7 linked regions of the Oryzias latipes genome follow. The protein of the gene in region 1 binds, or shares a complex with, the protein of each later gene. Links are inferred from orthologs where the notes say so. Each region holds a gene or a part of one and is shown in the gene's direction. Other genes may lie near its edges.

Region 1 (4,201 bases):
CAGTAGAATGATCTCAATGGATATCCTCTTAGTGGGCTTGTTTTGGAAACCAAAATACAATGTGGAAGGCCAACATTTTTTTTATTATTATTATTATTATTATACATTTTTCTTGCCCTGGGATGGACATTGTTGAGTAGTGAATGCAGGAATGCAGCTCTTATCTCCTTCCTCTAAGCCTTGGAAGCAAAATGTTGAATAAAAGACTTTTACAGAACTTCTGCTTGGTTTGACACTCATGTATGTTTGTTATAATACAATGAACAGTAATCAGTGTTAGGCTGTTTTTTTCCTCGGAACAAACGTTAGCTAAAAGTATGGAAAACGATCATAAATAAGAGGTTAAAAACTCCCCAGTATATCCCCCACCCCACTAAAATTCAGCTATTTTTAAATATACATAACTGTATTTGTAGTTTAGCTTTACAGATTGATTATATCTTTGATTTTCACTTTTTTTACACCCACAATTATTAGGAAAGTAATTCTTTTGCTTTTTTTATTAATAACAGCAATACCAGTTTTTTGTTATTTCTTTATAATAACGTGCAATTAACAGAGGTAGAGTTTACAGACAAACAGAGCCATGTAGCTCAGAAACAATCAATGTAGGAAAGGTTTCAATAAAAGAACAAGAGGGAAACTTTCTTTTTTGTTTGTTTTCTAATTAGGTGAAGAAGTTGTTGGTCTTAAAAATACTACTACCTTCAAATCAAAACAATAGAGTTGCATTTATATTTGTTATTTACATATTTCAAATGAATGTGAAGGAAGAATACAATCATGCATTCTCGTGCAGGGTGCTTTTTTAATCCTTATTGTAGTATGAAGAAGAGCAAAATTTTGAATAATACTTTGAATTGCTATCTTTTTATGCAAAATTAATCTTTTGAGATCAAATTAATTTCAACTTCTTAGCAGATTTGCTGACGTGTCTCATCAAAAAGAGATCCAATTTGTATTTATAATATGCATATTGAGAGTTCAGGGTGTTGTCCAATTTAAGCATTCATTATAATAACGTTTCTTGATCAAACTAAGAAAGTTTTCTTTAGGTCATAGTCACATCTAAATAAAAAATCAATTCAATACAAATTTCATTTGAAATATGAAACCACATTTTTGTTTGTTTAAAGAAGTGCCTTAGCCTATTTGTTTTCAATGTAATTTAAAGTCTAAAAGTATTTTTTTTTATGTTATTCAGTTTCGTTATAGAGATATAGTTAAAAGTGTTTGATTTAATGCTTTGATTGCTTCTTTTAGTGTTACTATGAACTGAACACACCCATGTATGGCGTTTTTTAGGAATAATGTTTTAGTTTCCAGTAGAGGGCGGTAAAGAGTTGTTGTAGTTTTTAACGTAATGACGTCAAGAGTACGTGTTCTCCAACCAATCAGCTTTTCTACAGCTTGTGGGCGCTTTTCATTGTGCTTAGTACTTGGACCAGAGAGCGTAAATCTACGGACGAAGAGAGGGAACAGCTTAGTCCAGGGTGTTTTAAGACAATTTAAATCTTTACAGTGCTTTAGAGTTATCGGGGCAGCATAATGGCGGATAAGATGGATATGTCTCTAGACGACATTATCAAGCTGAACAGGCAGAGTAGAGGCGGAGCCCGTGGGGGAAGAGGCCGAGGCCGCGGAGGCTCAGGCGGTGCCCGTGGAGGAGGCCTTGGGCGTCTTGGTGGTGGCGGCGGCGGATTTGGAGGCCGAGGCGGAGGATCAGGCCCCATGAGGACCCGACAGAACCTGAGCCGCGCTAGAGGCAGACCAACGCCTTATAGCAGGGTATGAGAAAGTTAGACGAATGGGCATTGGAAGGAAAAAAACCTTCGTCAAAGCTGAAAATTCCTGGTTTACGTCTTCTTTTCTCCATTTGGCTTGACGGCTAATCACCTAGCTAGTCAAGCCATTAAAATGGTTGCTTACCGCTGAGTTTCCCTTAGAGGAGAGCTCTATAGTTTGTGGATAAGCATAAATGGAGGTTGTTTGCATAATATGTCCCTTCTCCCACAACCTATATGTGTCGCACCACTTTTCAAGAAGAAGCTGCTTGAGGAGCGACTATGTTAGCCACATTGGCTAACCTGCCGGATCGTGAAGGTCTCAGCGCCATTTTGAATCCAACAACCTCGAATACAATTTGGCGTCAAAATGATGTTTTACCCCAAGTGTCGTAATGGTCTGGAAAGAAAAGGATGCCTACATCGCTGAGAAGGTTCCTGCACGTTTTTTCCATTGCTACGGAATCACATTCCTTCCAACGTCCTGCTACATCTTCAAGGCGGCCTTTTGTCCCAGGAATGGCTGACGGGGTTTCTTAAAATCCCACCCAAAAGGCTTTTCACCAAATGTCACATATGGATGGATACGTGGACTCATACTTAATCCCCTCAAATTTCCTTTATTTTTTTTTTTTTTTTTGTAAAAAGAAGCCCAATCTTCACTCCTGGGGTGTGAATGAATATAAATGCAACCCAAACAAAGCCCCGATCAAAATGGCGTGGTTTCAAAATGGACGTCCGCGTACTCCACGCACTAAAAAGGGGGCTATCGGCTTCTTTCCCCCCAAAATGTTCTTCACCTGTAACATCCTAAAGACATTTCTTCATGAAAGTCGAATTGTGGCCTGACAAAGGACTGTTGTGAGCCTGGACAAGCGGCGCAACGCGGGATGCGAGGCTGCTTCTGCCGGGGACCCCCCCTCGTGTGCCTGAGGAGCATGTCGACAGACAGAGCAGTTGGTGGAGTAGCAGATGGCAAGAAACGACGGGGTTATGCTAGCTAGTTTGGGGCGGATTTTTGGTTCATGTAAAGATTTTTTAAAGTTAATGTATGAAAATGATTAGTTTAAATATCTGTCAGCTTTTTGTCTTACTTTACAAGTAGTAAAACATTGAAATTTTCTGTATCAAAACACCAAAATAGCTATTTTTAAATTTGTGTATTTCTGTCTGAAGTGATTCACGTGATTGTAACGATGGGGTGGGCAGGGATCATGGGGGGGTCTGCTGAGCACCCTGGCCGTGTTGGAAGTGGAGCACCTGCTTGCACCAACACCCAGCCGTGTGGACTCTGTGAAAGACAGAGGCAGGGGATCCTGAAGTCAGCAGGTGCGTTCTCTTTCGTCTGTTGCAGCCCAAACAGCTTCCCGATAAATGGCAGCACGACATGTTTGACAACGGCTTCAGCGGCTTCAATGGGGCTGCTGGAGGTGGCGGAGGAGCTGGTGTGGAAACGGGAGGAAAGCTCCTCGTCTCCAATCTGGACTTTGGGGTGTCAGACGCAGACATCCAGGTACAACTTAGCTAGCATATCTGATGGTGATGTTTTTTTTTTTTAATTGATGACTTAGTTTTGACTTTTTTTTTTTTTATCGAAGGAACTCTTTGCTGAATTTGGGACTCTAAAGAAAGCTGCAGTTCATTACGACAGATCAGGAAGAAGCCTTGGAACGGCAGATGTCCACTTTGAAAGGAGGGCAGATGCCCTGAAAGCCATGAAACAGTACAATGGCATTCCTCTTGATGGTATTCTTCTACTTTATTACAGATTTATTTAATTAGATAAATACATTTAAATATTAGTTGATCTTCCCAAGATTAAAGCCTAATTTGTGTTTAGGGCGGCCTATGAACATTCAGCTCGTCACATCACAGATCGACACACAGAGGCGGCCTATGCAGGGGTAAGTAAGCATGGATTCTTGGGAAACTGGAAACAGGCTGTTGTGTAAACCCCAATTACATTTTCTTTGTGTATTTGTTTTGTTTTACCAGTATGAACAGAGGTGGTGGAGGCATGAGTAGAAATCGGGGTTTCGGAGGGATGCAAAGAGGCCGAGGGGTCCGTGGTGCAGGTGGTCCCAGAGGAAGAGGGCGGGGGGGGCGCGGCGGTGCCCCCAAGCAACCGCTATCGGCAGAAGAGCTTGACGCCCAGTTAGATGCTTACAATGCCAGGGTACATCTGTCAAAATAGAAAGCATCTTCTGTTGAAGTTGTTTTGCAGCTGTCCTAATTCTGTTTCACCTCTTGTTTTCTCAGATGGATACCAGTTAAGGAAACCTCCCATCCTAGTTGACGTCATCCCTCCCTGTCTGCACAGAAAGGGGTGCTTGTTACAGATGTGCAGAATATTTTACACTTGTCTTCTGATGTGATTGAAATTGTTCCAACCTCTTCTTTTAAATACTCCAAAGTGT
Region 2 (4,113 bases), on another chromosome or scaffold:
AATCTCTCTTTCCTGCCAAAGCTTTATGTCTGGAAGAGCTGGTCATCAACCCGCACCAGCAGCAGATGGAGCCGTTTCACTGGGTGATGGACTGGGAGGGAATGTTGTCTCCCTCCAGTCTTGTGTCCCTTTTTGACAAGAACTTTTTCCCAAAATGGTTACAGGTATGTGAATGTCATAACAAATAGTAAAATACGTAAAGCGTATTTCTTAAATATATAGGTTGAATAAATCCTCTGAAATTGCTGTATTTTTTATTTTTATTTTTGGCTTTTAGGTTTTGTGTTCATGGCTGAGCAATAGTCCTAACTACGAGGAAATCACAAAGTGGTATCTCGGCTGGAAAGGCTTGTTTAGTGACATTCTGTTGACTCAACCTCTCATTAAAGAGAAATTTAATGAGGCTTTGGACATCATGAACCGTGCAGTGTCATCAGGAATGGGTTTGTGTACACACAGTCTACTTCATAAATATGAAAACCAAAGATCTACCTTAATTCAAACTATAAAAGCAAAGTTTGAGAGATCTTTGCTTCACTTATGTTGAGTCCGTTATTCCTTTTCACAGGTGGATATATGCAGCCTGGTGCAAGAGAGAACATTGCCTATCTCACACAGACGGAGAGACGGAAAGACTTCCAGTATGAAGCCTTGCAAGAGCGCCGGGATGCAGAAAGTGTTGCTCAAAGAGGCATCGGTTCTGGTGTGCCAACTAACTTTAAGGATCTAATTCAGGCCAAAGCAGAGGAAAACAACATTGTTTTCATGCCCATAGTGGCCAAACGGCACGAGGGGAAACAGCTCTACACATTTGGCCGCATTGTTATTTACATAGACAGAGGTGTTGTGTTTGTGCAGGGGGAAAAGACTTGGGTGCCAACATCTTTGCAAAGTCTGATAGATATGGCAAAATAAATGTACCTTAAAAGATATTTTGTTTTCAGGTGCTTTTATTTTTGTCTTAAAAAAAATAAACCAGTTCATTTCATGTATCTTTAGATGTAGTTTTTAATGTGATATTTGTAAATAAATTATTTCTGTTTATATGTTGTCTTTCTTGTTGTCCTTTGTACCCAAAAATAGATATGTTGATACAAAATATTTGTGGAGGTTTGTTTTTTAATTATTCTTATTTGGGGATATGTATGTTCACTGATTTGCACACCAACTTAAAATTAATTTATAAAATATTGCTGTGTTGAAAAAATATATACATTCTTATTTTAACGACAATTTTACGTTCACTGTATAAAATGTTTAAAAAATTGCGGAGATTATTTTTTAATCAAGCCAGTATTAGTAATACCAAGAGGAACCGTAGGGGGCAGTGTAGCGATTACCATTGATTTTCAGTCATTTCGGCTTCCGTTGAAAGGCTTTGTGCGATCCATAACATCTGCCTGTTCGTAATTTAGCCTCTTAACGTGGACCTTTCCGCTTATAAGGTACGCAAGCAAGTTTTCAAATGCAGAAAATAAGAACAAAACAGTAAATTGATATTGTGGACGTAGAAGCTAGCGGTTGTGAGCCGTTATTAGTCACAGGCCATGATGGTGCTAACAGTTTAGCATGCTAGCATATTTTGTCGATCGAAGTTGTTTTATTCTCACTATATACATCTATGTATACATATGTTATTTTTCAGAGTTATAAGTGTGCAGTTACATTTAGTCAGCCATGTCATCTGACTCTATAAAGAAACGCAAGTCGAAGGTTCTTCGTAACGAAGGGGGAACCACTGAGATGAAGCGAGGCCGAGGGGAGGTCGAGCAGCAGGTACCCAACCAGTGTTTCTCACGAGTTCTGACTTTGTTATTACAAAGTATATTTATTATACTTTGTTATTATTATAATGGCGATCACAGTAAAGTAGTAGTGTTATAAATCTGTGGAGTGACATTCTTCATAGATAAGAGTTTTAATACAATAATGTCTCTCTTTTTTTAGGATGTTCGCGTGTATAATGAGGAGGTGGAGTTGGACGGCAGGGAGCCTGAACACGACTACTTGCAGTTTAAAGAGTCCTGTGAGACTCTGGCTTCTCTCATGAGTGAAATCCAGGAGCTTAAAGCTAATGGAGCTAAAGAGGGGGTATGCTCTTTCAACTTTACAGTTCACGCCAATGTCCCTGCCAAATGATCATTTTCATCAGCCTTAGCATAGAAAGTAAAGTAAGGTAAATAATTATTTAAAAGTATCTAGTTGAACTCTGACAATCATCAAGCTTGCAGTAGTTATGACATTTTTGAGGTCAAAGTGTTATCAGTTATTGCCAAGTGTTCATTGCCAATAAATATGATCTAATGTCTCTAATGTCATGTTTTTGACAGATACACCATCATGGTGAAGGGACTTTACATTGTAAGCCCCGTCTTTAATAAATAATTGTGTTTTCTCTTTTGCTTCAGTGTGCCGAGGTTGAGCAGAAGCGCATGCAGAGCTGCATCCTCTTCATGACCTTGAAGAAGTTCAACCGCCTGGCCCACATGCGGCTAAAGAGAGGACGAGACCAGACGCACGAGGTAACTTCCACACGTCTCTGTAATGCATTGCTGTCTTAAGAGAAATGTGAACGTTGTTTTATGCACTCAAAAATTGTTTTATCATCCGATAATGTCACTCTTATTGTGTGTCTTGATTGATCACTATGCTATATGTTTTTGTTATTGGTCTTTTGTATGTCGAATCCTTGTCTTGTTTGCCAACTTGTTTAAATATTAACTGTGTTTAAAATGTTACCATTGTATCAATGCCTGATCGTTGATTTTTCGTCTTCCTAGGCAAAACAGAAGGTGGATGTGCTGCACCTTCAGCTGCAAAACCTGCTGTATGAAGTCATGCATCTTCAGAAGGAGATCAGCAAATGTCTGGAGTTCAAGTTAGTCCTTCCGAATTTATTAACTGGTTCTAACACAAAATTAAACCACTTTTTTTGTTATCTGATTACATTTTTGCAAATGTATGTACTGAAAAATACTAGATTGTTCACTTATTTCACATTGCTAGTTCTTTAATTGCTTTAGGAAGGAATAAAATCACAATATTTAAGTTGCTGACCTGAAATTGCTTTCTACTGGTGTTGCAACTGAGTCTTTTAAAGAGCCGATAACCCGGGGGGGGGGGCATATTTATGTGAAAGTTAATAAAGACGAACCAATTTAGTTTGTGTCTTCTCTAGGACTTTATCCAGATTGCTTAATTTCTTTTCTTTATTGTTTTCTAAAGCGCTTAAAACTTTGTGACTTTTCCACCACTCCGACAAAAAATGTATGCTTTTTAATTATTTGACCTGTTTATTCTGTTTTTATTGACATGGCACAACAATGTTAGTAGTTTTAGAAACAACCCTGGGTTAAAAATATCCTTTTGTTTTTGCCTCAGGTCAAAGCATGAAGAAATAGACTTGGTCAGTGAGGAGGAGTTTTACCGGGATGCTCCTCAAGAGATCTCCAGGCCTCAGCTCACAAAAGACGATCCACACCAGCTCACACTGGCCCGGCTGGACTGGGAGCTTGAACAGAGGAAGAGGTTTGCTCTGTTGTTGTTACTGTTTTTCATTCTCCTGAAATAGATATGTGCTAAAACGTCTGTATGATACAGATTGGCAGAGAAATATAAGGAGTCTCAGTCTACAAAGGAGAAAATCCAGAAGAGCATTGAGGTGAAGAAGGAGCATCTGAGAAGTTTGCAGCCGGGACTTAATGCTATCATGCAGGTATTAAAAAATAAAGCTCAACTTGAACTTGATCTTAAGTTTTTAGTTTTTAATATTCTTCTAAATCTTCTCCCAGGCGTCTATCCCAGTGCAGGAGTATTTGTCCATGCCGTTTGAGCAAACTCAGAAACAGACCGAGATTGCCCGCCACCTTCCTCCACCCCTTTATGTGCTGTTCGTTCAAGCGAATGCTTACAGCCAGGCTTGTGGTGAGCAATTTTCTCTGTAGGGACAATAGCCGAAATGTCAATATGAGTTGTAAGCAAGGTTATTATAGTTAACGAAAACGAACGAAAAAACTAAAACTAGAACTGAAAAAACATTTTCATTAACTGAAATAAAAATAAAAACGAGAGTTTTATAAAAAACGAAATCTAACTAAAACTGTTTGTTGTGTG
Region 3 (4,063 bases), on another chromosome or scaffold:
CCTTTCAAAAGAAATGTCCTCATTTCTACAATTTCTACAGGAAATGCAACAGGCCGGGGAGTGCAAAAAAATAAATAAAATAAATGAATTAAGAAATAAACATTCGAGACCCAATATGGCGTCAACAAAAGTCAACCAAACAGGAACAACATGAGTTTACAGAACCCACCGGCAAATTTCCCACCACAGGAGGGAGAGGAAAAAAAAAAATCTGAATAATAATACAACATTGCCTGCCAACCAACAGCATATTATTCAACAGAATCTTTCAAGGAAGGAAAACACAACAACATATGACAGTCTCCTCACAACACCAACAAAAATTTCACTGTGACATAACTCTGTATTGTTACATCCTAATAAAGTCCTGATAACGTGTTGGAGCACGCACCATTCTGCCACTGCGGGAGTGTGCAGGGGCTGTCCCAAACGCGTCCCTCTGACCCTGTTGGGGTGGATCACCATTATCTGGGGGGTCCAATGAAGTACCCGCCGAAGGAGAGGATGATGGCGGGGTGGACATACTGTCGTTTGGGGAACCAGCAGGCAGGGGAAGAGTGTAACGTTTTAACCTGTCATGATGAACAACCTGGGCCCGCTCAGACATATCCAGGGGGTTGACAATGCGATATGTCAAAGCGGCCTCTGCACCTGAAGCCAGAACCCGATCCACACGATAGGGACCTTTCCAGTGCGGTGCTAGTTTTGTGCGGCCCTCTGTTGGGTTATTAAGCCAGACCAGAGCACCCTCTGTAAAGCCCTTGTGGTGAGAGTTCTCATCATGGTACAGTTTCTGTTTCTCCTGCGCCTCTGCTGCATTAACCCTCGCTGCACTGAAAGCAATCTCCAGCCGCTCCACAAGAGACGACGCGTATAAAGGCAGCGTGGCTGCACTGCCAATGCCACCAACCCCACTAGGAATGAGAACCTCTGCCGGGGTCCGGGCTTCGCGCCCGTGCATAAGATAAAAGGGAGTAAACCGTGTGCTGGTGTGCTTGGAGATGTTGTAAGCAAAAGCAACAGATTTCAAATGGTCATCCCATTCCCCCCCCATGGGACAACAACATCTTGGCCAGCTGGTCAATTAGGGTAACCCGGGAGGGACACACCTCTCCCAAAATAAAAGATCCAGGAAGTTGGTTACATCTGTTTTAATTGTGGTTTGACACTTTATACAGCTGCCACAATATTGTAAACCTCAAATGTTTTTTCCAAACGAAAAACAATTGCTCTTCCGCCTGATAAACCTGGTCGCCTGCTGATGACGTAAGCAGAGCGACACGTGGAGCGCTGTTAGTAGCTAGCAAAGCGGTTACCCCCCTTTTGCGGAGACTACCGATTCGTTTTGAAGACAGACACGACCGTCATGGCCGCTGCTGGGACACCGGGCAGGAGAAGACTCCTGAAGGAGGAGGACATGACCAAGGTGGAGTTTGAAACCAGTGAAGAGGTGGATGTCACCCCTACCTTCGACACCATGGGGCTCCGTGAGGACCTGCTCCGGGGAATCTACGCCTACGGTAGGCCGGTGGATTCGAGAGGCCTCCGCCTCCAGATGCTAAGCCTAAATCCGCTGTGTGGTTCAGTTCACCTTAAAAAAGGAATGAAAACGTAGTTGGTATCAGACTACATCCCGTAATAACTTACATTAAAGCGGGTAGATTGGTGTGACCTGATCATTTTGTCGTTGGCGGGAAGAAAAACTTCATCTTTTTAGCCTTCATGCTAGCATGCTAAGGCCGCGTGCGGCCGCGCTGACATGAAATTAGTTTAAATTCGTGTTGATTATTTACTAAACGAAAACCAGATACTAAAATTTGCGGGTTTCGTTCAGTAATGCCTGGACACGATCTTTGTTGGTATTGTTGCTCGTAACAGTCATGATCCAGGAGTTAGACGGTTCCCATCCTATATGGCTTCGTATATGTAGCGAATATTTTACTAATTTCCCCCAGAACTATTAATAAATATATGTCAACACTTCTGTCTTAATGTGTATTTTAATTTTGTTTCTGTTCATGTGTTCTGTCTTCTCCAGACGGCAGAACATTTTATGAACATATTATCTGGACCCAAAAGGACGGGAGAAATCCCAATAGACAGAATCGATCAGATTTGTATCTACAGTAATATTGAAGTGTTGCACTGATAAAGATGAATTCTCTACATTTTCCTGGACTATTGTGCTTGAGAGGATCCTTCTTTACCCCTAAAACCCAGTTTCTCCATAGAAATCCTTTCTGTGGGACTAAAACTTTTCTTTCTGGTCAGCATCACCAGAACTTCCCACTTTGGTCCCCCTCAGTTTGAGCAGCATGGGAACTTCTCAGATGAGGTTTCTCTATGTGGAAATGAAGATGGACAGCACCTGACCAGGTTCTGGTTCTGTTACAGGTTTCGAGAAGCCTTCAGCCATTCAGCAGAGAGCCATCAAGCAGATCATCAAAGGCAGAGATGTCATCGCTCAGTAAGTCTGGGCTGGAAAACATGCAGGTGCTCTGGTCCTCCATGCTGTAACGTGTGATCTGTGCTGCATTCAGGTCCCAGTCTGGAACAGGAAAGACGGCCACTTTCTGTATTTCCGTCCTGCAGTGTCTGGACATCCAGGTGAGTTCTTGCTGTTCTTGTGTCCCGTGACAGACGGGCCAGAACCCGTTTGCAGCTCGGTGGTGATGCTGTTCCTTCTGCAGGTCAGGGAGACCCAGGCTCTAATTCTTGCTCCAACCAGAGAGCTGGCCGGACAGATTCAGAAGGTAGCCCCGCCTCCACCGCCATGTTCAGCCAAAGGCTTGTAAGGTAGAGGCGGCGGTGCCAGTCACGGTGTCCTGTGTGCAGGTGCTGCTGGCTCTGGGAGACTACATGAACGTTCAGTGTCACGCCTGCATCGGAGGAACCAACGTGGGCGAGGACATTCGCAAGCTGGACTACGGCCAGCACGTGGTAGCTGGCACCCCTGGACGGGTTTTTGGTGGGTTCAATGGGTTTTATGGCAAAAGTGGCACAAACGGGAATGCTGACGGCGTCTCTTTACAGACATGATTCGGCGCCGCAGTCTCAGGACCAGAGCTATCAAGATGCTGGTGTTGGATGAAGCTGATGAGATGCTGAACAAAGGTGAGGTCCTCTGCTGTTCAGCGTCTTCTGTACCTGCAAAGCAGCTCTGTCTGAGCTGAAAGCTCACCTGCTGGTCATCAGAATAACTCTGGCACCTTTGGTTACGTCTGAAATGTGTTGAAGGAGCAGGAAGGGTTGGTCCTTCCAGGTTGGAACCACCTGTTCCAGACACACTTGAAGGTCACCTTTCCTTTCAGTGGTCGTGTTTTCGGCTTAATGTGTCAGATTTGAAAAGTCCATTTGACGCCATCGGGCCGCGATGTCACCACTTCCTGTTTAGGACGTTTAAAGCAACACTTCAGTGAATTTTAACGGTGACATGGAGATGTTCTAAGTGAAGGTTAGGAAGAACCTTCAGCAGAATCTTCAGCAGAACCGCTAGCAGGGTCAGAACTTTAAATTCATGTCTGTAGTGTTGCTAGTGTCACTGCAGAGAATGGTTTCAGATTTCTGCTTTAACATTCCAGATTCGTGGGGGAGCAGAGCTTTTGGGGGGTGGGGGTGGTGGTCTCTGTAGCGCATGGGGAGGTCTTCATCTCACCACCACACATCTTTGCTTGGCTGTTGGTGTTTTTGCTCTTCGTCGCCATCAGATCTTTTTCATTCTAGAATCCTGGACGGATTTTTCTACGAAGGCTTGAACTTTAAGAGAAAAGTCTGGAAATGTTGACAGCTAGCTTGTGGATTTCACCTGTGGCCGGTTATTTTAGAAGGCAACTCCCGCGATGGGAATGCTGTAGTTGAGTTCCGGCGTGACTGCACTTCCTGAATGACCCTGGTCAGTCAAAGCCGCCGTCATGGCTGAAGTTCTGGCAGACCGTCCTAAACTACGAGCTCTCTGAGAGGTTTGGGGCCGGCCTCAGAGACGGAGATGCTTCTGGGTCTCAGGGACCAAAAATCAGGAGCAGCCTTTCTCCGGTTTGGAGCACCTGACATCTCTGAGACTTCA
Region 4 (2,647 bases), about 15 Mb from region 1:
CGCACACACGCAGACGCACACACACAGACGCACACACACAGACGCACACATAGACGCACACATAGACGCACACACAGACGCACACACAGACGCACACACACAGACGCACACACACAGACGCACACCCAGACGCACACCCAGACGCACATACACAGACGCACACACCGACGCAAACACAGACACACACACACAGAGGCACACACACAGACGCACACACAGACGCGCACACACAGACGCGCACCCACAGACGCGCACACACAGACGCGCACAAAGAGACGCACACACACAGACGCACACACAGACGCACACACACACGCACACACAGACGCGCACAGACGCGCACACACAGACGCACACACACAGACGCACACACACAGACGCACACACAGACGCACACACAGACGCACACACAGACGCACACACACAGACGCACACACACAGACGCACACACACAGACGCACACACACAGACGCACACACAGACGCACACACACAGACGCACACACACAGACGCACACACACAGACGCACACACACAGACGCACACACAGACGCACACACACAGACGCACACACACAGACGCACACACACAGACGCACACACACAGACGCACACACACAGACGCACACAAAGAGACGCACACACAGACGCACACACAGACGCACACACACACAGACGCACACACACACAGACGCACACACACACGCACACACAGACGCGTACACACAGACGCGTACACACAGACGCACACACACAGACGCACACACACAGACGCACACACACAGACGCACACAAACAGACGCACACCTGCACAACCACCCGTGTTGTTCCTGCAGCTCCAGTCTGGAGATCCCAGAGATCAACGCCATGGCGTTCAACCCACGGGTGAGACGCACGCCACTACACGCACGTGCACATGCTGATGTACACACTCACACCAAGCATTCCGCGTGTGTGTCATCAGGACAACAGTCTGGCGCTGGGGGGCGGAGACAACAACATTCACGTCTTGGACCTGGAACATGGCGTCTTTAAGGTGCGTTCGAGTGCTGTGTGTTCGTGGCAGAGCTCCATCTTCCTCACCTGTGTTTCTGTAGGCGGTCCTTCACGGACACACGGATTACGTGCACTGCTTGTGCATGAGAGAGCGGGAGGCGGAGCTTCTGTCGGGTGGAGAGGACGGAGTGGTGAGGATGTGGGGTGAGTGACAGCTGCCGTCTTTGAGCTTCATCCTTTAGTGACGATGATGATGATGATGATGACGCTCTGCAGACAGCAGGACCGGGCGGTGCGTTCACTGCCTGGAGGTCCACAAGTACGAGGTGAGGTCTGGGGGGTTGGCGGGGGGAGGGGGGGGGGCTCGGATCCATCAGGCTGACGGACGGGTTCTGATCCTCGTGCACGTCTTTCAGGTGTGCGCACGGCCCCAGCACGGAAAATGGATCAGCTGCCTGACCACCGACTCTGACTGGATGGTAAGAAGATTGGAGGCGTTCGGGTCACTGGGAACGTTTCCCAGCCCTTCCTCACCGAGGAGTCTCCCTCTGTCAGGAGTCTTCCTCAGTCAGGAGTCTTCCTCAGTCAGGAGTCTTCCTCAGTCAGGAGTCTTCCTCACCGAGGAGTCTTCCTCAGTCAGGAGTCTTCCTCAGTCAGGAGTCTTCCTCACCGAGGAGTCTTCCTCTGTCAGGAGTCTTCCTCTGTCAGGAGTCTTCCTCTGTCAGGAGTCTTCCTCTGTCAGGAGTCTTCCTCAGTCAGGAGTCTTCCTCAGTCAGGAGTCTTCCTCAGTCAGGAGTCTTCCTCTGTCAGGAGTCTTCCTCTGTCAGGAGTCTTCCTCTGTCAGGAGTCTTCCTCAGTCAGGAGTCTTCCTCACCGAGGAGTCTTCCTCAGTCAGGAGTCTTCCTCAGTCAGGAGTCTTCCTCAGTCAGGAGTCTTCCTCACCGAGGAGTCTTCCTCAGTCAGGAGTCTTCCTCACCGAGGAGTCTTCCTCTGTCAGGAGTCTTCCTCTGTCAGGAGTCTTCCTCTGTCAGGAGTCTTCCTCTGTCAGGAGTCTTCCTCTGTCAGGAGTCTTCCTCAGTCAGGAGTCTTCCTCTGTCAGGAGTCTTCCTCAGTCAGAGGTTCTGAGGTTGTTCTGTTGTTCACCTGCCAGCTTGGTCGCCACAGCCAATCAGCAGTCAGATCAGCACAGGTGGTCAGGCAGAGTCCTTCAGGTCACAACCCCGTGTTCTACCTGGGCTGGGGACCGGCACAGGGAGACCGCTACCTTGGTAGGCAGTAGTGTGAAGCAAGTTGACCGTTAAAAAATCATTTAAAAACGGATAAATCAATAATCGATATCGGACGATACCATCGATTGAGGTACTGCAGGTTTATGTTACTAGAAGATAAAACCGACCAATCACAGCAGACGACACACGTGTGATGTCATCAACACAGAATAGTCCATCATTCCAGTCCAATGTGTGGACAGACTGTGAATAAAGTCATGTGACCATCCAGTGTCTAGAATGTTCTAAGAATGTTCCCTTTGGATTCTTTGGATGTGGAAAAACAACAGTGGTGAACTTTAGGAAACTAACATGTGAATGGATTTGACATTCATTCTAGTTTACTTGTTGGTTTGGACACAGATTTCATTAACTTGATGATCTG
Region 5 (4,283 bases), on another chromosome or scaffold:
TTAGGTTTTTATTATTATTATTTGTTTATATGCATGACAGTTGTTAAGATTTTTTTTTTTTTAATCATTCCTCCTCCTGATAAAAAAATAGATGATGGTAAAAACTATTTCACCCAGAAAGCTGAAGTTCTGACTGTAGCAATGAAAATAATATTACAATTAATTAAGTAATGATTAATCTAATAAATATGTAAACAGTCGTGTAAATCACAAATATTGTATCAATCACAAATATAAACTTCTGTGAAACTCTTGAAGTTTGCAGACAACACTACAGTCAAATGCCTTACATGTGCAGTCATGCTCTTATTAGTAATAAAGATGATTCTGATTCTAAAACCTTGACATCAATATTAACACAGAATGTACTAATAATAATTATGATAGAAATTGCAACTCTAATATTAATAACAAGTATAGTCACAATTTTAATAATAGAAATGCTATCCCTTGCAGTATAATAAAGTATTTTAAATCATATTTTTGTTGTGTGAATGTTGACACTAATGTTTAAAACAAATGTATACATTTCTCATTGTTCTCATTATATCAGTGATGACACTAAATATAATACCAAGATAACAACAATTTTCAATTCTTGAAAATATATGGCATGGAAATTTTAACAATGCTATTAATAACAAATATATCATTAATTATATTGCATTAAATTGTCCACACTAAAGTATAAAAAATCATGATTATTTATTAATATCATGATTGAGTAAGTAAGTAAATTTTATTTGCATAGCACCTTTCACAGACAAAGATCACAGGTTAAAATATATATATATATATATATATATATATATATATATATATATACATATAAAAACATAAAAGATAAAAAGCACAAACCACGTAAAACAATCATCTCAAGCCCAATGAAAGCAGTTTCAGTTAAAATGCTTTGCAAAAATAAAAAGTTTTCATGATGATAAATGTAAATTATTTCATAAGGGATAAATTAGAAATCATGATTATTAAAACATAAATTATCGTTTAATATTATGCATTTTTACCAGTAACACATGTGATATTAATCATGAATATTATAATAAAACTCTGCACTAAAAATTAATAACAAAAATTTCATTTTCAAATAAAAACTCATTATTAATCTTATTATTATATTTGACTAATTTTATATTAATAAATGCAAATTTTCTTCATCTCCTATTTTTTCCCTGTGTTATTAATCAAACAAATTTAAATGTATCTCAGTAACATCTCCAAAAGTCTTAATCAGAAAGCTGCATGTTTGTATGAAAGTTGTTGAAATCTGAATGTTTTTTTTTATCTAAAACTCCTGTAATATGTATGCTACCCTGGCATATCTGAAGTTTACTTAGCAAAATTGTGTTTTGTATTAAACTTACTTACGTTTTGTACAATAAAGTTTAAAAAAAAATCTTTACGGAAGTTACGTACTCAGACTCTTTAGTGATTCTCCGTGCGCATGCGCTGTTCGTACTCAGTCAAACAGACATCATGGCGGACGTGTTGGACCTTCATGAGGCGGGAGGAGAAGACTTTCCTATGGATGAGGATGGTGACGGTATTGCGTTGTTTTACACAATTAGAGGCGGACGCACCGCAGTCCTGCCAGCCAAATAATGAAATTCAAATAGCCGCACGTGCGGTCAGAATCACGCTCAGCCCAGACTGCGTGTTTGTTAGCGGGCCGCAGCCGTGTTAGCATCCAGCTAACTCAACGAAAGGCGGTCATTCATCCACTTAGCGAGCCTCTCAGCGGGGGTGCAGCCGTCTGTGTTTGCGAGGGCCGCTTTTAAAATGTTAATTATTTAAACGGACTGTATTTTTCTCTGCACGTTAAAGCTGTTTTGTTTTCTATTAAGCTAGCGCTAGCATCCATGTTAGCCAACGGCTACATGCTGTTAGTGTTGCGCAGATGAGAGAAAAAACGTCGATTTAAAAATTGCACATTGTTCCTAAAAAAACAACCCAAAAACACATATAGTTACTCCATTTGAGAACTTCATAAACTAAACTCTTGTGAATTAAAGGAAACTGAAAACGGCGTCCTTAGGCTTTTATTCGTCTGTTTGCAGAAAGCATCCACAAGTTAAAGGAGAAAGCCAAGAAGAGGAAAGGACGAGGTTTTGGTGCAGGTGAGCTTTCAAAGCATTTTTCCCTTTATTTTTCTTGACTTCTTAGGGTTTGGTTTTGATTCTAAGTTTTTGATTCCAGATGATGGGGCCCGGTCCAGAGCCAAAGAGGACTATGATACTGTGGAACAGGACGGAGATGAGCCTGGGCCTCAGAGATGTAGGTGTTACAAGTGACCTTCATGTTCAGATAGAAGCAAATTAACAAGCTGTAGTCACACTTAGATTGTAAAAAATCTAAGATCTTTGTGTGTATTTTTTTTTATTTTATTTATTTAATTTGATTATAGAATAAATGGTCAATGTTGTGCTTTTCTACCTTTACTAAGCCACTAAGGGCTTGAAAGTCCCAGTCCCATGCACAGTCACAGCCTGTAACCCCCACGAGCGTTGTGGGGTTTAAGTGTCTTGCCCAAAAGACACGTCCACACATGGGCAGGCAAGGCAGGAACTGAACTTTTGATTGAAGGTCTACCTCTGCATCACAGCTGCAGATAACTAATTTAATTTAACCTAAAGTTCATTGTTTAAAAGTTATAAATCAGTTTCACGGCTGCGTTTTAATTTTGACCTATGCAAAAACTAAAAAACTGCTCTGAAACAATGCAGACTTTTACTTTTGAAACTGCGTGAATGCCAGCAGGTCAGGTAAACTCATCTGCTTGTCTTGGTGTGGAGACTGGGGGGTTTGGGTGTCTGATGCCCTGTTCCCTCCCCTCTCTGCAGCTGTAGAAGGCTGGATCCTGTTTGTGACGGGCGTGCACGAGGAGGCCACAGAGGAAGACATCCACGATAAGTTCTCAGAGTTTGGGGAAATCAAGAACCTCCATCTTAATCTGGATCGCAGAACTGGCTATCTGAAGGTGAGTTTAAACCATTTCCTTTTTCTTTGAACACATTTTGTATTTTAAAGACACAACATTTGGATGTCAAATGTTGCTTATGTTCCAATGAACATCTAAGCGGAAGAAGTGAATATTTGATCAACATTAAAAACAAGCATTTAGGCAGTAATTATCAGAGGGAAGGATGGAAGTCATCATATTAATGATGTGGAAGATTTCATTCAGTAGGATTTAATCATATATTTTATAATACTTGTAGAAAAGAAAGTTGGTTGCTAAAATAAGGCTGTTGTGTTCTCAGAACAGTTGCGTGAAGGGGTTAAGAGAGAGCCTGGACTGCCCTTTTGTAGCAGCACTTTAGTTTCTGTGAAGTGAAGCTGATATTTAAGAACAGTCGTATGAAAAACAAACTATTTCGGCTTTATTATTACTGAGGGATTTTCTTTCCGTCTTATTGGTGTTTGGCCGCCACTAAAGGCTAAAATGCTCAGTGTTGAGTCTTTGACTTTTCCACCAAAATAAAAGCTTTGGCATAATTCTGGTCTAACTGCACGACACAAAAATGGATGAGAAAAGCATTTGGGGGGCCGTGAGAAGAAGAGGGTTGACCTTTCTGCAGTTTGTTACTTCACGGTCTGCTCAGTGAAGGAGGAAACCGTCTGACATCTGCACTTTGTGATCAGAACTGTATTATAATAATTGTCAGATTTCAAAGGGTTGTTTTTCAGTTTTAAAACGAGTCTGAGGATACTTAAAGCCTGACTGTCACTGTATTTTCACTCAAAAAAAATATGTTTTTCTCTTTTGGTGCAGTGTTTTTCAACCAGTTTATAACTGGAAAAAAATTCCATTTCACCTAATTGGGCTAAAAAAATGTTTTCCGTTAGCAGGATATCAGTTCTGTGTTCATCCGAACAGACCCGGCTTTTCCACTGGAGTATTTAGAAATGTCTGCTTTGGTTTTATTGGTTTAGTTTAGTTTGTCATTTGCATTGTTTACCTAACATACAGTATAAACAATTAATTAAAAAAATAGGCAGAAGCATATGAAGCTTATTATATGCCTGTCCTTCAATGTCCAAGTTAATCAGTTTAACAAACCAAAAAGTAGGAAACAGTCCTTAATAAATGGAGACAAGTAAACAAAGTCCTTCTACATCTGTGTTTTGTAACCTTTAATATGTTTTAGACTTTTTTTCTTTTAACTGAGAATTACGTCATTTTAATTCATCGCTCAATTCCTTCCATTATTTCACGTCAAGAACTGAAACACATCTTGTCTTGACATTAGATCGAACATTAAACCTGT
Region 6 (3,571 bases), on another chromosome or scaffold:
GTTAACCTCTGATTTCTAATTGGCAAACTGCTGAAAGTTTGTACTGTTTTCCTGTAAATCTAATATACGCGTGAACCTTTGTTAAATAACAAAACTCTATTTGCCCACACGGCTGGTGTTCTGGTGAGAAATAGAGCACATTAAGTTTCAAACAAGTTTCATTGTAATTTTCTAAGGTGTAGGAACAAACATGAAATCAGACCTGAATTGATCTGTCAGAAAAAAAACGAGGAAGTGGTGACCAAGAAAATATGTTGGCCAAATGAAAACCTGTTTAAATCTATAGTTGAAGCAGGTATTGTACCTATAACCGTACCAGTAACATTACTATTTATGAATTATTATAAATGGTGAAATTAAAGCTAGATAGAAATCTTTGTCCTCAATAGCCACTTAGTAGCTAAAGGTTCTTATAGAACAGAGGTCTGCAACCTGAGGCTCCGGAGTTACATGCAGCTCCTTTATGATTCCATTGTGGCTCTTTGGTTTTGAAAAAAAAACGCTAACGATTTGAGTTACTAATAATGTTTTGGGGTTGTTTTTTTTTTTTTTTAATTTATTTATTAAACTTTCTTTTATTTGGATTCTGCTCCAATGTTGTCATGTTAATATATGACTATAAAAGTAGAAAAGAACGAATATGCAGCAAAGTCTGACTGATAGAAAAGTCTATGTTTGACCTGACTTTCTTACATGTTTTATTCAAGTGAGTCTGTTGGAGGATTTAATTTGACATGAGGTTTATTTCGTTTGAAAGGAACCTATATATGCTGCTGTCAAAAGTAAAGGAAGTTAATATTTTAATAGAAAGAAAATGATAAAACTTTCATAATTCAATTATTTTAATATCTAAATGCTACATGGTAAAAATGAATGGTTTAATGGTAAAACAAAATATGTAATGTGCCATTCTCGATTGATAATTCAGCTTGCAATTTAAGCATTCAATCTAAAAAATGCATTTTAGAATTTAAAATTCAATGTGTAATGCTACAATGTAAGCTGACATTTTTAAAAGCAAAATGTTAAATAAAACAAAATCAATTGTATTCTAAACTGTCATTGGTTTTTAGTCCAATAATATTCTGCAATATAATAAAAGTTCAATTTTGCTGTTGAGTCTAAAAAGCACAAAAATGTGGGAAAAAAATTGCCACATTGAATGTCCACCAATAGGGGGCAGTAGAAAATGAAACCGCTGATTTTAACCTGGAAAAAGAATCTTGCTCTACCGGAAATAGTATTGCTCATTGCAAACATGGGGGCCGTAACAGATGGTAATTTGGTGGTTACTTCGTTTAATATAAAGTTTTATTAAAAATAAATAAAGTGTTTATGTGTTAAGTTATTGTATACAATAGCTTATTTCTAGAATGTAGCAGTGTTTACGCAATCAGTTGGGAGAACTGTGCAGCTAATTTATTGCCCTGCAGTGCTAGCTCAGATTAGCAGGTTGCAATCTAGCCTATAGTTTATCTTGTCTCTTTCGTTTCTGTTAAAGATGAAGTCATTCGGAAACGTCTTCTTATTGATGGCGACGGAGCCGGAGATGACCGCCGGATCAACCTGCTGCTTAAAAGCTTCACTAAATGGTGCAACTCGCCCGGGACTCCGGAGGAAGGGTCAGTGCTGAATGAATCTGAGTCTGAGCTGACGCATCAGAAGATTTACTTTCCAGATTTTAATGTGATTTAGCATTTACGAACAACTCTTCTTGCGAAAGAAAAGTCACATTAGTTAGTTCTTACGTTGTGTGTACAGGCAATTCCAAGCTAGTTTATCAAACTCCATAGAAGGTTAACGGGTCTCAGTTGCATGCAGTTATACTTACCCAAGGAGAAGAGTAACTGTCTTCTCTACAATCTATGGCAAGCAGAGTGTGACACACAGCACAATGTTTCAACTCTGACCATGCATTTCAAAAGGCTGTTTCTATACATTTCCATGATGTGTTTTTATATACCCGAAGAGTAGAATGGTGTCTTCCTTGTTAAATATGCAACAAAAAATCTCACTTTAATTCCTTGTGGTCTTGTGTTTGCGTGTAGATTCACACAGTACCAGCGGATGTTGGGCACTCTGGCTCAGTGTGAGTTTTCCATGGGAAAGACGTTGATGGTTTATGACATGAATCTTAGAGAAATGGAAAACTATGAGAAGATCTATTCAAATATAGGTGAGGTTTTATTGCTCTCGTCTGGAAGCATTTCTGTTTACAATATTAGATTTCATCTATATACCCCCCCCCCCACCCTCCCCCCATTGCAGAACAAAACATCACATCTGCACATGAGAAGATTGCAGAATGCAAAAAAGATATTCAGAGGGCAAAGAGGATACGAAAAAATCGCCAAGGCAAGGATATTTTGATATGGATTGCATATTTTATTTATTGTCCTTTTTCAATAACATCCTTGGAGTATTATAAATATGTTTGTATTTTTTCCAGAATATGATGCATTAGCCAAGGTAATCCAGCAGCATCCAGATAGGCATGAAACACTCAAGTAAGTGGCTCCGTTAATTCAGATTTTCGATTGCTTGTAAACAGCGTACAACAGTTTTGCTTCATTTTTATTTATTTATTTTCTTTCAGGCAGCTAGAGGCGCTTGACAAAGAGCTCCAACAACTGTCCCACATCAAAGAGAATGTGGATGCAAAGGTATATCCAAACAGAATTTATGCAGCTTCTGTGTATTTCGCTGATGATTTGATTTATTTTAAAGTTGTTGTTTTTTTCTATCAAATTTACTGTTCCACCATAGTTGGAGTTGAGGAAGAAGCAGTTCCACGTTCTTCTTACCACCATTCAGGAGCTACAACAGACACTTGAGAGTGAGCACTTTATTCTTAATGCCAACTGATTTTAAAATTGTTTCAAAAAGTTAAACTCAAAATTTGTCTTCTTTTAGATGATGAGAAGTCAGATATTGAAGATGCCAGTCAAGAGAGCCCTGCAGGGAACAGTGAATAACAGTGGAACAGAATGAAATGTTCTTAAATGAGTTTGGGTTTGTGAGACAGAATGCTTTTCGTATGTATTTTTGAATAAAATTCTCTTGATTCTGTCGCTCTGTCTGGTTTTCCCTTTTATTGTTTCAAATAAAAATAAAAAAATCAAAGTTCACAGACTGATAATAATTTCCCTCTATATATATGCCCAAATAAAACAATGAACATAAAAACATGCTCCACACTCGAGGTGATTATAACAATATATAAAAGGAAAACATCTGTGTGCCCATATAATGACTTTTGCTGCTGTAAGATAATCATTCCTGTTAGAAACAGCAGATTCTACTGGACTACCCAAACACAACAACTGAACATTTACACTAACATGTAATTTGGAGATGCAGAAAACAGATCCTTCAAAGTTTTTAGAACTCTACTAGGTATGCACGGGCCTGCAAAAGGCGCTTAAGGCGATTCTGCAAAGTAGCCCTCTTACTGCCGATGTCAAAGTCCTCCTTCAGCAGGAAATCCAAGTTCTCCTTGTCCTGAATCATCTGCAGCATCTCTCTCTGGAGCTGGCTGGCTGATTGTTGCAGCATTTCATAACGGATCACC
Region 7 (4,105 bases), on another chromosome or scaffold:
AGACACAAATTATATTTGTATTTTACTGTTGCAATTCTTTTCTTTGGAAATGAAGTCTGCAGTCGACACAAATTATAGGTCTTGTCCTGTGAAACCCACTTTACAAAGTGCAAAGTTAAATGATTGCCATCACACTGTAATGGGCCAGTGCTTCTAATGTGCAATGTGACGTTGTTCAACAGTAGATTTCATCAAAGCATTCCAGCCCTGCAGCACTGTACTCTGTAATGTACGCCCACAACATGCAGAAATGTTCCCCAGTGCAGACAGACATACATAGACCACACTAATCGAACACCGTGACCTCTCCAAAACCAGTGCTATGTAAGTATGAATGACACTGAGCTTTTTCCTAGTGCACAGGTCTAACTAAATAAAAAAATTGTAACTGTACAATTCAGTTTAAAAATGGATTTAATGTTTCAGCAATGCAATTGAATTAAAATTTACTTTATTAAAATAACAATTGTTAAAGTTTTATTTCAGCTTAGAAGAGAAAGAATACACAAATGATTACAAATTTCTAAAATATTTGATTTATCCCACCATTATTCAGTGACACCGGTCACCAGCAGATGAAACGTAGCTTTGTTTCAAACTGGATGAAGGGTTCAGTAGTTGAAAGAACAGTGTGCAACACTGCCCCCGTGAGGTCAAATGTGGAAGTGAGGCAGCTTCCCCCAATCTCACTCTGAGGTCAAATTATGAGAATTATCGAACACACGCGGATCTTTGGCTCATTGTCGCAACTTTATAGCACGTGTTAAGACGGTATGATAAAGTTTTATTCAAAAACATGTTTCAAACAGCAGCACAATTTGGTGGTTTTAGGGCAAAAAAACACATCAGTGTAATTTCTAAATCCCTTGTTAGAAAACTAACAAAGATGTATTCCTCAAAAGATAGAAACAAATGCGAACTACATTTTTAACATTTATTCTGAACTTTATGTATTAAAAATACAATTTAAAATTGATCATTATCTGTAAGCAAAAAAAAAAGCTTTAAAAAGTTCACAATGACGTTTTTTTTCAAATATGATTTTTTTTTAAACACATGAATTAAAGAAAGTGAAAAATTACAAATGTGGAGATTGGCAAACCTGTACAAATGTGGTATTTACGTCGCCCTAAGTATTAATTTTAGGAAACCGTCTAAAGTTGTCATCAATTATGTATGTAAATATTTAATAAATGTTTTTTCCGTTTGCATTATATATTGTATTTATGTCTACATTTTATTTTGTAATTTTTGTAAAATAATTTTTAAAAAAATAACGGGAGGGAGCGGTCAGAAAGACCGGAAGTACTTCTAGGTGCACTTCCTGTTGCAGCAGTAAAGATGTCTCCGTCCTTGTTTAATTTTGTCGATGTTAAAGACAAATTTACGGTGAGAGTTTGCAGGATGAGTTTTAATCATTAGGCATGCAAACACATAAATATATATACGGTGGATGTGATCAGAACGGTGATAACTTAAGTAGTTTTTTTAAATTAATTTTCTGTTTTGTTTTTCTACATTAGCTGTTAGCATAATGCTAACGTATTGAAAAGAGAGACGTTTTCTTTCGTATTATTCTCACATTTTCGTCCTCAGGTTGCTGCCAGACACGCCCTAACGGGTAAAACCTGCAAACCTTTGGTCACATCGTTTAACCAGATCCCTGGGAAGTAAGTCTACATCACTTCGACTTGTTATCAATTGTAATTTTTACCTATAACGAATCATTGACGTGTGTTTCAGTGAAACGGAAAAGAAAACAACTCTTGATCAGGCTTTGAGGGGCGTTCTTGGAGATCAGATTGTAAGCTGTTTCTTTAAAATTATCCAATGTTCTGCATTTGTACGCAAAGCTTAAAGGCTGATCGTTTCTTCTGTAGGTTGAGCAGAAGGCCAGCTGTGATGACTACCTGTCTCTCATCTACTTGAGCATCGATGCGGTCACAGAAGGTGTGATGCTAATGCAGAAAGTTGAACCGTGTCTTTTATTTAAATACAAATGAACAGGCCCTTTTTTTTTTAGCTGTTATTATTTTGACTTTAATATCTTGTTCATGTTTATATAGCAGAAATAGTCCATTTTAGCCACTCTTGTTTCGGAACTGTTGTGTTTCCGGGACGTTTACGGTACTCTATTTCAAAAGAAGTTAGTCTTAAAATCAAAACAGTGTAAAGTCTCGTCTTCAACCTTTTTTCTTCGGTGTTTTCTTGTTTTTGCAGGAATCTGCTCCGCTACAACGCCCTTCGTCCTGCTGGGAGACGTACTAGACTGCCTTCCACTCGATCTGTGCGACAAAATATTCTCTTTTGTCGAAGAGAACGTCTCCACTTGGAAATCTGTAAATAACTTACCCCCCCAAATGTGAAATATTGGTCTATCTGTCATGTAATATTAAATAGTATTTTTCCTTTTTTCCAGAACTCCTTCTACAGTGCAGGAAAAAACTATTTATTGAGGATGTGTAACGGTAAAATCTCCTCCATGTCTAATGTTATTCATCATTTCAAATTTGAGCAGTGAGTGACGAACTTTTCGGACCCTTTAGATCTTTTGAGGAGACTCTCCAAATCTCAGAACACGGTATTCTGCGGGCGAATCCAGCTGTTTCTTGCGCGCCTCTTCCCTCTGTCAGAAAAGTCAGGTGAGGACCCCAGCAGGGGGTTTGTTGTTCAGTTGTTGGGTGTTGACATCAAAGATGACATCTTAGATTGGAATTTTTTGTTTGTTTGTTTTTTTTCCCATCTAGGTCTTAACCTGCAGAGCCAGTTTAATTTGGAAAATGTAACAGTCTTCAACAAAAATGAACTAGAAAGCACTCTTGGCCAAAAGGTGGATTTTCTATACCTGAGGATTGATTCCAACAGTTTGGGTTGACTGATGACGGTTTTTTTTTCATGTTTTTCCAGAGCACAAATGAAAAGGAAGAAGGCATGGAGGTGGAAGAAGGAGAAATGGGGGAGGAGGATGCTCCTGCTCAGAGGTTTGTAGTAAAATGTTACCGATCCTCGTACAAACTTCTGATTTGCTCTTGACACCAAATGCTCCTCGGATTGAAAAGCTGTTCATCAAAATGTCGATTTCAGCTCCATTCCCATTGATTACAACTTGTACCGAAAGTTTTGGACGCTGCAGGACTACTTCAGGAATCCTGTGCAGTGCTATGACAAGTTTCTGTGGATGACGTTCCTGAAGGTAAAGTTCCTGAACTTCAGACGTATGCATGTGGCGAACCATAGCTAACCTCCTGGTCAGTTCTCAGATGAGACTCTAGCTGTGTTCAAGAGCTACAAGCTGGACGACATGCAGGCCTCCAAGAGGAAGCTGGATGAGCTGAGAGGATCTGATGGAGAACATGTTTACTTTGCCAAATTCCTCACCAGTGAGAAGGTGGGAAACTTTGTCTTTTATCAGCATACGTTTCTGTTAGAAGTCATTTTTAAAAGTATTAGATGTTTGTGGGGTCATGGGTCTGTTACCAGAGGGGGGAAAGGGTGGGCTTGTCTATGTTTTTAAGCCGCATAATGCAGGAGAAGCACTTTTCATGAGTAAATTGTGATCTGGATCTGACTGCTGACTGTTGTTCCTCTCCTCCTTCTTTCAGCTGATGGACTTGCAGCTCAGCGACAGTAATTTCAGACGCCACATCCTGCTGCAGTACCTCATCCTCTTCCAGTACCTGAAGGGCCAGGTCAAATTCAAAAGGTTCAACCTGAGCACAAATGTAACTCGACGTTGAAAAATCTGCATCGTCATGTTGGGGAAATAGAATCCTTTTTCATCTTTATCCTGCAGCTCCAGCTGTGTCCTTAATGACGACCAGACCACCTGGATCGAAGAGACGACTAAACTGGTTTATCAGGTCAGTTGAGGAGGAAAAATGGGGAAATCTTTTTATATTTATGAACTTTATAATTTATAGTTTTGAATGTAAACTGTTGAGGTCTTGAAAAGTCAAAGAAAAGGGGATGATGGAAGCCTTTTCTTTGGTTTTGTAGCTGCTGAAAGAAATCCCTCCTGATGGAGACAAGTTTGCCAGCATGGTGGAAGTGAGTCCACATCATATCCAACCGGTCAAGGTTTTGGGTCTCTGTACATTATTCTAAC

What was found.
Region 2: THO complex subunit 4 (region 1) and thoc5 share a complex: the UniProt entries of both Homo sapiens proteins name them as parts of the transcription/export (TREX) complex. The link is inferred for Oryzias latipes from reciprocal best matches to the Homo sapiens genes ALYREF and THOC5.
Region 3: THO complex subunit 4 (region 1) and eif4a3 share a complex: the UniProt entries of both Homo sapiens proteins name them as parts of the ALYREF/THOC4-EJC-RNA complex. The link is inferred for Oryzias latipes from reciprocal best matches to the Homo sapiens genes ALYREF and EIF4A3.
Region 4: THO complex subunit 4 (region 1) and thoc6 share a complex: the UniProt entries of both Homo sapiens proteins name them as parts of the transcription/export (TREX) complex. The link is inferred for Oryzias latipes from reciprocal best matches to the Homo sapiens genes ALYREF and THOC6.
Region 5: THO complex subunit 4 (region 1) and rbm8a share a complex: the UniProt entries of both Homo sapiens proteins name them as parts of the ALYREF/THOC4-EJC-RNA complex. The link is inferred for Oryzias latipes from reciprocal best matches to the Homo sapiens genes ALYREF and RBM8A.
Region 6: THO complex subunit 4 (region 1) and thoc7 share a complex: the UniProt entries of both Homo sapiens proteins name them as parts of the transcription/export (TREX) complex. The link is inferred for Oryzias latipes from reciprocal best matches to the Homo sapiens genes ALYREF and THOC7.
Region 7: THO complex subunit 4 (region 1) and thoc1 share a complex: the UniProt entries of both Homo sapiens proteins name them as parts of the transcription/export (TREX) complex. The link is inferred for Oryzias latipes from reciprocal best matches to the Homo sapiens genes ALYREF and THOC1.

What each region holds. Positions count from the first base shown.
Region 1 is NC_019866.2:15,369,837-15,374,037, reverse strand, and holds the start of THO complex subunit 4, read left to right. Parts: upstream 1-1,401; 5' UTR 1,402-1,548; coding exon 1,549-1,788; intron 1,789-3,138; coding exon 3,139-3,297; intron 3,298-3,382; coding exon 3,383-3,530; intron 3,531-3,624; coding exon 3,625-3,688; intron 3,689-3,779; coding exon 3,780-3,960; intron 3,961-4,043; coding exon 4,044-4,058; 3' UTR 4,059-4,201. UniProt on the Homo sapiens protein: Functions as an mRNA export adapter; component of the transcription/export (TREX) complex which is thought to couple mRNA transcription, processing and nuclear export, and specifically associates with spliced mRNA and not with unspliced pre-mRNA.
Region 2 is NC_019867.2:13,553,733-13,557,845, forward strand, and holds the start of thoc5 (THO complex subunit 5 homolog), read left to right. Parts: upstream 1-1,313; 5' UTR 1,314-1,445; intron 1,446-1,645; 5' UTR 1,646-1,677; coding exon 1,678-1,776; intron 1,777-1,947; coding exon 1,948-2,091; intron 2,092-2,408; coding exon 2,409-2,522; intron 2,523-2,780; coding exon 2,781-2,878; intron 2,879-3,381; coding exon 3,382-3,528; intron 3,529-3,600; coding exon 3,601-3,715; intron 3,716-3,791; coding exon 3,792-3,924; intron 3,925-4,113. Other genes in the region: tfip11 (tuftelin-interacting protein 11), read left to right, coding at 22-164, 278-443, 569-915. UniProt on the Homo sapiens protein: Component of the THO subcomplex of the TREX complex which is thought to couple mRNA transcription, processing and nuclear export, and which specifically associates with spliced mRNA and not with unspliced pre-mRNA.
Region 3 is NC_019859.2:158,191-162,253, reverse strand, and holds the start of eif4a3 (eukaryotic initiation factor 4A-III), read left to right. Parts: upstream 1-1,263; 5' UTR 1,264-1,366; coding exon 1,367-1,520; intron 1,521-2,394; coding exon 2,395-2,467; intron 2,468-2,540; coding exon 2,541-2,607; intron 2,608-2,690; coding exon 2,691-2,753; intron 2,754-2,835; coding exon 2,836-2,968; intron 2,969-3,033; coding exon 3,034-3,114; intron 3,115-4,063. UniProt on the Homo sapiens protein: ATP-dependent RNA helicase. Involved in pre-mRNA splicing as component of the spliceosome. Core component of the splicing-dependent multiprotein exon junction complex (EJC) deposited at splice junctions on mRNAs.
Region 4 is NC_019866.2:286,797-289,443, reverse strand, and holds part of thoc6 (THO complex subunit 6 homolog), read left to right. Parts: intron 1-834; coding exon 835-883; intron 884-962; coding exon 963-1,034; intron 1,035-1,095; coding exon 1,096-1,198; intron 1,199-1,270; coding exon 1,271-1,320; intron 1,321-1,410; coding exon 1,411-1,473; intron 1,474-2,647. UniProt on the Homo sapiens protein: Component of the THO subcomplex of the TREX complex which is thought to couple mRNA transcription, processing and nuclear export, and which specifically associates with spliced mRNA and not with unspliced pre-mRNA.
Region 5 is NC_019874.2:29,126,567-29,130,849, forward strand, and holds the start of rbm8a (RNA-binding protein 8A), read left to right. Parts: upstream 1-1,483; 5' UTR 1,484-1,491; coding exon 1,492-1,552; coding exon of another isoform or gene 1,553-1,558; intron 1,559-2,072; coding exon 2,073-2,132; intron 2,133-2,211; coding exon 2,212-2,289; intron 2,290-2,855; coding exon 2,856-2,992; intron 2,993-4,283.
Region 6 is NC_019863.2:16,703,394-16,706,964, forward strand, and holds thoc7 (THO complex subunit 7 homolog), read left to right. Parts: upstream 1-1,169; 5' UTR 1,170-1,189; coding exon 1,190-1,277; intron 1,278-1,501; coding exon 1,502-1,622; intron 1,623-2,048; coding exon 2,049-2,176; intron 2,177-2,268; coding exon 2,269-2,355; intron 2,356-2,449; coding exon 2,450-2,507; intron 2,508-2,596; coding exon 2,597-2,663; intron 2,664-2,766; coding exon 2,767-2,836; exon of another isoform or gene 2,837-2,913; coding exon 2,914-2,975; 3' UTR 2,976-3,071; downstream 3,072-3,571. Other genes in the region: interferon-induced GTP-binding protein Mx, read right to left, coding at 3,382-3,571. UniProt on the Homo sapiens protein: Component of the THO subcomplex of the TREX complex which is thought to couple mRNA transcription, processing and nuclear export, and which specifically associates with spliced mRNA and not with unspliced pre-mRNA.
Region 7 is NC_019875.2:28,356,448-28,360,552, forward strand, and holds the start of thoc1 (THO complex subunit 1), read left to right. Parts: upstream 1-1,305; 5' UTR 1,306-1,341; coding exon 1,342-1,389; intron 1,390-1,596; coding exon 1,597-1,670; intron 1,671-1,743; coding exon 1,744-1,804; intron 1,805-1,880; coding exon 1,881-1,950; intron 1,951-2,220; coding exon 2,221-2,339; intron 2,340-2,419; coding exon 2,420-2,468; intron 2,469-2,546; coding exon 2,547-2,642; intron 2,643-2,747; coding exon 2,748-2,830; intron 2,831-2,907; coding exon 2,908-2,981; intron 2,982-3,084; coding exon 3,085-3,193; intron 3,194-3,253; coding exon 3,254-3,388; intron 3,389-3,602; coding exon 3,603-3,703; intron 3,704-3,793; coding exon 3,794-3,860; intron 3,861-3,996; coding exon 3,997-4,047; intron 4,048-4,105. UniProt on the Homo sapiens protein: Component of the THO subcomplex of the TREX complex which is thought to couple mRNA transcription, processing and nuclear export, and which specifically associates with spliced mRNA and not with unspliced pre-mRNA.